Macaca mulatta: one gene and its partner. Each later gene encodes a partner of the first gene's protein in a complex. Links are inferred from orthologs where the notes say so. Each region holds a gene or a part of one and is shown on either strand. Other genes may lie near its edges.

Region 1 (3,570 bases):
CCTCCCTCGTTCAAGTGATTCTCCTGCCTCAGCATCCCATGTTGCTGGAATTACAGGCATGTGCCACCACACCCTGCTAATTTTTGTATTTTTAGTAGGGATGGGAGTTTCACCATGTTGGCCAGACTGGTCTGGAATTCCTGGCCTCAAGTGATCTGCTCACCTCAACCTCCCAAAAATGATGGGATTACAGGCATGAGCCACTGCGCCTGGCCACTTCTGAGTATTTAAAATTGACACAGGATTCCACTGACTGGGCAAGAATCTCCTCCCCTGTTCTACACTGAATACCAAGGGATCCAGTGACCTGGGCTGCGTTCCCTTCATGGCCTCTGGCTGAACTGAAGCTCAAGGGACTTCAGCAAGGCTTTCATCAGCTTTATTGTGAAGAAAGAGATCAAGGAATCTAGATCTGGAACATACCTGCCCCTGCTCAGAAAACCCGCCCTCTGCTGGTGCTGACCAATGCTCTTCACCATCACAGTTTCATTGCCACAGAGTTCCTATTTTCCTCAATGCGTTTTCCCCTCTTCCCTTCGCAAGGAATCTCTGTCTGCATTTCTAGATCCACTGTCATCCAGTTCATCTGAGCCCACCTCTCCAAGCCCAGTTTGGACAGAAAAAGGTTCACTCTCAGCGCCCTGCCTGTGTTCCCGAAGGAAACGCCTGCACATGAGCAGATGGGTAGAGCCAGGAGAGCCCAAACCTCAGACCCAGGCCCCACAGGGTTCCCCACTTGCCCCGTACTCAAGAAGAGGCTTTGTTAACAAGCCTTCCATAACTTGTGTTTCACCTTCCTGAGAGAATGGTTGAGGCTTCAGAGAGAGTATCAGCAGATCTCTTTAGAGACGTGAAGACTGGCATTTGTGGGGAGGCAGGAGAGTTAGCTTCAGAGGACTTGGGGTGAAGCCTGACACTGCCTTATTTCCTTACCAGCCATGGAACCCAGGACTGAGAGAGGGCAGGCAGATCCCTCAGCTGCACTGAGGGCCACTTGAAGGAGCCCTTTCAATAAGGCAGCTCAGCACACATAGTCTCTCGAATCGAATGCTTCACAGAAAGCTCTTGAGACCTAGGTCCATGGAGAAGGTCAGGATTGCCTCACCTGTGGTTGCAGAGGGGCAAACCCAGAGAAACTGTCATGATCCACTACAGACGCCACAACCTGAAATCAAGGACAGGAGGGTGTGAGGCTCTGCCAGCACGGTTTCCATTCTTCTGGCTCTCCCTCCTTGCTCATGCCCTAGACCGGTTCTCACTTGAGCCTGGTTTCAGACGTGGACAGTAACTGAGGATTAGATTCCTGATCCTCTGGATTAGGATTTCAGCAACTGAGGAAACGAGTATTCACCCAACCCCTGCTAACAGAGGCTTGCTTTCTCCTCTCTAAAAACAAATGTTTTTATTGAGGTGCAATTTGTGTAACGTCAAATTACCCTTTTTTGTTTTTTGTTTTGTTTTGTTTTGTTTTGAGACAGAGTCATGCTCTGTTGCCCAGGCTGGAGTGCAGTGGCGCAATCTCGGCTCACTGCAGCCTCCGCCTTCCAGGTTCAAGCGATTCTCCTGCCTCAGCCTCCCAAGTAGCTGGGACTACAGGCATGCACCGCAGCACCTGGCTAATTTTGTATTTTTAGTAGAGACGGGGTATCACCATGTTGACCAGCCTAGTCTTGAACTCCTGACCTCATGATTCACCTGCCTCGGCCTCCCAAAGTGCTGGGATTACAGGCGTGAGCCACGACGCCCGGCCAAGACCTGGATTTAGAAGAAGTGCAATTTAAGACATAGTCTAAACACAGGGCTGTGGAAGTAGGGAAACACTCCTCAGCCCACTAACACGTGAACTACAAGGAGCATTAATCCAAGAGGAACCCATGCTGATCTCTTTCCCCAACATATTCTTTCCATATTTGTTTTTATTATTTAGAAACAGAGTCTCACTCTGTTGCCCAGGCTAGAGTACAGTGGTGCAATCATAGTTCACTGTAGCCTTGAACTCCTGGGCTCAAGTGACCCTTTCGCCTCACAGCCTCTCCACTAGCTAGGCTGGTCTCAAACTCCTGGCCACAAGTGATCCTCCCACTTCAGCCTCCCAAAGCGCTAGGATTACAGGCATGAGCCACCCTGCCTGGCCTTCTCTTCACATTTAGTGAGCTCCTCATGGCTGTGTTTTCCCTCCACTGGCTCAGTCCCCAAGACTCAGCATCCTGTGGGGAACCCTATGGCTCTCACCCAGGGTCAAGCTGGAAGGGAGGAATGGGAGCAGCCTGGAGAAAATAAACTAGAAGTGGTTGCCTATCTTTCAGCCAAACCTCTGTCCTATAAACAAGTCTCTTGTTGCCATCCCAGGGACAGAGCCACAAGGAGGCTGCCCTCTTCTCAAGAGTCCCTCCCACCTTGCTCCACATGGCCCAGGCCACAGGAGACTCAGGGGACACCTACCGTCGCCTTGCCTAGGTAATCCTTCTTGGCCAGCTGAGCCACTTGTCTCTCATTTGGTCGAAACAGCCTGCCCACAGGGATCACCACTGGCTCGTACAGCTTCTGCTTCTGTAACACAGAAAACGTAGCATTTCCTTATCTGAAAATGGGGGTGACGATGCTTGTCCTGCCTCCCTCAGCGAATAGATGCAAGAATTTATTGAGATAACCACATAGAAGCACTTTTTCCAAATGAGTGTTGTCATTGCTCTAGGGTGTTAAGGTAGGAACCCCTGGTTTGAATACCACCTTCTGCTGTGAGGCCACGTGGACGTTGTTTGCTGCTATATGCCCAGCACCCTCTTTTCCCAGAGGAACTGCTCCTCTCCCTCTCTGTGTGGTGTCCGTGGGGTTCTCTAATGGTGTAGACGGCACCACCGCGACGAGGCTGGCCCGGGATTAAGTGAGGCTCATAACAGTGTTCCCTTGGATGAGTGTCTGCTGACGAGGATAGGCATATAAACACTGACTTGAGTCCTCTTCTCTGTGTTTTAAAAATCGGATTTAAAGCTAGCCTTATTCACAAATATGCTTGAACGATGGCTAATTTTTATCACTCATTCACATAATCAAAACATTTTGTGGGCAGGCGTGGTGGCTCACCCCTATAATTCCTACACTTTGGGAGGCCAAGGTGGGCAGATCACCGGAGGTCAGCAGTTCGAGACCTGCGTGGCCAACATGGCAAAACCCCATCTCTATTAAAAATACAAAAATTAGCCAGGCATGGCGGCATGCACCTGTAATCCCAGCTACTTAGGAGGCTGAGGCAGGAGAATTGCTTGAACCCAGGAGGCGGAGGCTGCAGTGAGCCGAGATCACACCACTGTACTCCATGCTGGGCAACAGAGCGAGACTCCATCTCAAAACAAAACAAAACAAAACAAAACATTTTTGCTGAGAGCTGTTACGTGCCTAGCATTGTGCCAGGCTGTGAGGACTCAGTGGTGATCCAGCAGACATGGTGTCTGCCCTCTCAGTGCTTACAGTCTGTGCAGTGCCGCTCCAGCATCCAGTATCCTGTTCTGCATTGCCCAGGAGCCCCACTGCGAGGGCGGTGTGCTGCCAGGCCTCTGCCATCCCATACTC
Region 2 (3,570 bases), on another chromosome or scaffold:
CACCAGAGCTTCGCCGCTGTTCGACAGGTCCAAACGTGAACGTCACCTCCACTCCTGCCGTATTGTTTGGGCTCACCCAGTTCTCCCCTGGAGGTGGCACTCCCTCTGTCCCTCCTGTGTGGAGACATGCATTGAAAATGACTGTCTCCAACAACCCGGGACTTTAAAGCGAGGCAAACAAACGCACACCAGGAACTTGTTCATCAAGTCTCAAAAACACCAGTATTACCAGTTGTATGATTCAAGGATTTATTAAGTCATACATGCAAAACATAATGCTAACTGCATTAGCAAAAGATCAATGTAAAAACACTCCACAATTCTGCAACTGTCAATTTAAAAAATCCTGTTGTCGTGGCTGAAAGGTTCCGCGTTGTATTCTTGCCGGTGAGTTAAGTTGTACAGAACATTGTCAGCACTAGCACAGTTTACAGAACCTCACAGACCCAAAGGAACATCATTAGGCAAAGCGACTACAGGAGGCGTGTGTCTGCGTGGGCGAGGTAAAGAGGGTCAGTATTGGTCAAGTGACAGTGTCAGTAATCTGGCAAGACAGTGATGTTAAGAAGGTTCATAGTTTAAGAATTATCTAAAATATTTTAAAAACTATAAAGCTGCAACACATGATTTTTACACCTAGTTACTAGAAAACTAAGGAAAGCACTTATTAGCTTTGAATAAAGTAACATGGAAAGCACTTTTACTCATCTACAAAAAAACCTTCTAATGCATTATCAGAAAGATTTTATAATACAAGGAGGCATATTGCTCAGTAAGAAGGGGTCCTATAAGAAAAGCACTTACTAAGTTAGCGACTAAGGGAACGACCAGTTTAAAGATGAATTAAATGCCCAATTTGGGGAGGGATGGCAGGTGTAAGAGAAAGGAAAAGCTTAAGAACATTTCCTGATAATACCAACCTTTCTTTCATCATCTACTGCATTTGACAGAAATTAACCTTTTAGAGTTTTTACCCGTGACACTTTTGTTCCTTGTACAATGTAGTGTAAATCTCCACTTCGTATTTTGTCAAAATACTGTCTTTGTCCTTTGATCACACACACCCCACCCGGCACACCCACAGCTAAACAGAATTCTTCATTAGAGGAAACACGAGTTCTGTTCAAAATCTCCGCAAGAGCTGGTCAGAAAACTCACTATGAAATCAAAAAGACTGATCCAAAGAGCTGAGCTGTTACACTCACTCCATTACAGTACAATGTTATGTCGTGAACATGGGCCGCTAAATCACTGGTGAGTTCAATGGCAACGCACCATTCGGGAGGCTGTTCTGCTTTACACATCTGAGAACTACTGAGCAAGTGTCTGCATCTCCTAACTGCAGAGGCTACAGTCTTCTCAAAGACGAAGGTCCTTACACAGTTTAGTGCTTGGTGTTCTTAGCACAACAATGCAGTGTAGTTCAGAAGGTATTTTGGCAACTCTTAATCTGAGCAAGAATAGGGTGGGCTTTTGAAAAATAAGGCTTTAAGAAGGTTTGTCATTTTAGGGCTAAATTTTAATAGAATGTGAGTCTGAACTCTTACATTTAGAACAAACAAAAACCTTCAAATTACTGATTGGTTCAAAATGGTTTTATGGAAAAATCAATCTGTAACAAAAAGTTGGCATTGAGTGCGAAGGCTCCACCGTTTTTTTTTTTTTTTTTGAGCAAAGCGTACAAAGGTTCCAAGGGACAGGACCAAGAACGAGGGGCTCAGACGTTTACAACAGCAGGCATTTTCTCTTCCTCTTCTTCACGGGAGGTGGGCAGAGGACTGCTCGGATCGCTTCGTCAAACACTGTCTTGAGGCCTCGCTGTGTGAGCGCCGAGCACTCCAGGTATTTCACAGCACCTACAGGAAAACACAACCACACAGCAGTGTACACTTGAGCCCACTCTCTTCTGATCACAACACCGGCGGGAGGCAGCTCCGGGGGCCTGGGCACTTTCTGCCGGCTCCCAGCCCTGCGTCCACCTTCCAACGCTGACATTAAGACCCAGAAGGCGATGCCAGCTGGTTCCCCAAGAGTACAACCAGGCCCTGAGTGGGAGACACACACCCTCCTTTCCCAGACTGGACTCCAGTCTCTGTCACTACAATAAAAGAGGTACAAGGCAGAGGAAAAACGCAGGATTCCATACCAATCTCCTTAGCCATGGCTAGACCCTGTGGATAGGTGATGGGAGTCAGCTTCTTCTCCTTCAGTTTCTCGATCGTGTCTTTATCATCCCTAAGATCAAGTTTAGTTCCCACTAGGATGATGGGAGTGTTGGGACAGTGGTGCCGCACCTCAGGATACCACTAGATGTGAAGAAGGAACAGAGGTTGTGATGTGCTCCTTTACAGACGCCCTTCACCTAAATCACACCCAGCCGGCGGCACTTGTGCCAGACACCTAACCTCAGGCACAGCCTCCCCACCGAGCCTTCATGTGGTTCCCACCTTCAATCTGAGCCTTGAGCCATAAGAAACATCTCAGGTGTTCCATGAGCAAGCTAGGACTCTGGATCATGGCCGGACAGAACCACGACCAGAGAGAATGGGCTCTACAACCGCAAGGGAAGAGGCGGAAGGGAAGAGAGTTCCTCCCAAAGCAAATAAACCACTTTGTTTTTGGTAAAACAAGTTCTTAGGGTCATCTGAGAAAATTCATCATCTGTTCAGAAACGAGAATAAACTACCTAGCCCAAGGTCTCAGGTCTGCCGCCATTATCCCCACTGAAAATGTCCCTACTGAAGGGCCTGTCTCGTCATTTTCACTAAGAAGTTTGTGAAAGAGACTGGAGTAGAAAGAAATGGTGGTTAGTTTTATTAGACCAATTCTGAGTGCCTCATTATTTTAATGAGGTCCAGGAAACTTCTGAACCAGAACCTGAAGCTTTAAAAATCCACATATTAGGCCAGGCACAGTGGCTCACATCTGAAATCCCAGCACTTTGGGAGTTTGAGGTGGGTGGGTCACTTGAGGCCAGCGGTTTGAGACCAGTCTGGGAAACATGGTGAAACCCCGTCTCTACTAAAAGTACAAAAATTAGCCAGGTGTGGTGGCGGGCGCCTGTAATCCCAGCTACTCAGGAGGCTGAGACAGGAGAATCGCTTGAACCGGGAGGTGGAGGTTGCAGTGAGCCAAGATCGTGCCACTGCACTCCAGCCTGGGTGACAGTGCAAGACTCCATCTCAAAAATAAATAAATAAAAATAAACTGCTGATGGCTCAGGCGCAGTGGCTCACACCCATAATCCCAGCACTTTGGGAGGCTGAAGTGGAAGGATCACTTCAGCCCAGGAGTTTGAGACCAGCCAGGGTGTACAAAACCAGCGCTACAAAAAATTTTTAAAGATTAGCCAGGCACAGCGGCGCACGTTTACTGTCCCAGCAACACAGGAACGGAGGCAGGAGAACTGCAGGAGAACTGTTTGAGCCCAGGAGCTCAAGGCTACAGTGAGCTCCGATGTCACCACCACACTCCAGCCTGGACAACAGGGTGAGACCCCTGTCTCAAAAGAATAAAAAACCCAATCATGTACTTAAGTAGCAAATTCCTATAACCAATTTAAATAACTGA

Evidence for each region. Proteins that work in one complex are often made in the same cells at the same time.
Region 2: NCF2 (region 1) and RAC1 share a complex: the UniProt entries of both Homo sapiens proteins name them as parts of the phagocyte NADPH oxidase complex. The link is inferred for Macaca mulatta from reciprocal best matches to the Homo sapiens genes NCF2 and RAC1.

What each region holds. Positions count from the first base shown.
Region 1 is NC_133406.1:41,052,852-41,056,421, forward strand, and holds part of NCF2 (neutrophil cytosol factor 2), read right to left. Parts: intron 2,551-3,570; coding exon 2,443-2,550; intron 1,166-2,442; coding exon 1,106-1,165; intron 1-1,105. UniProt on the Homo sapiens protein: Subunit of the phagocyte NADPH oxidase complex that mediates the transfer of electrons from cytosolic NADPH to O2 to produce the superoxide anion (O2(-)).
Region 2 is NC_133408.1:44,608,856-44,612,425, forward strand, and holds the end of RAC1 (ras-related C3 botulinum toxin substrate 1), read right to left. Parts: intron 2,307-3,570; coding exon 2,147-2,306; intron 1,857-2,146; coding exon 1,726-1,856; 3' UTR 236-1,725; downstream 1-235. UniProt on the Homo sapiens protein: Plasma membrane-associated small GTPase which cycles between active GTP-bound and inactive GDP-bound states.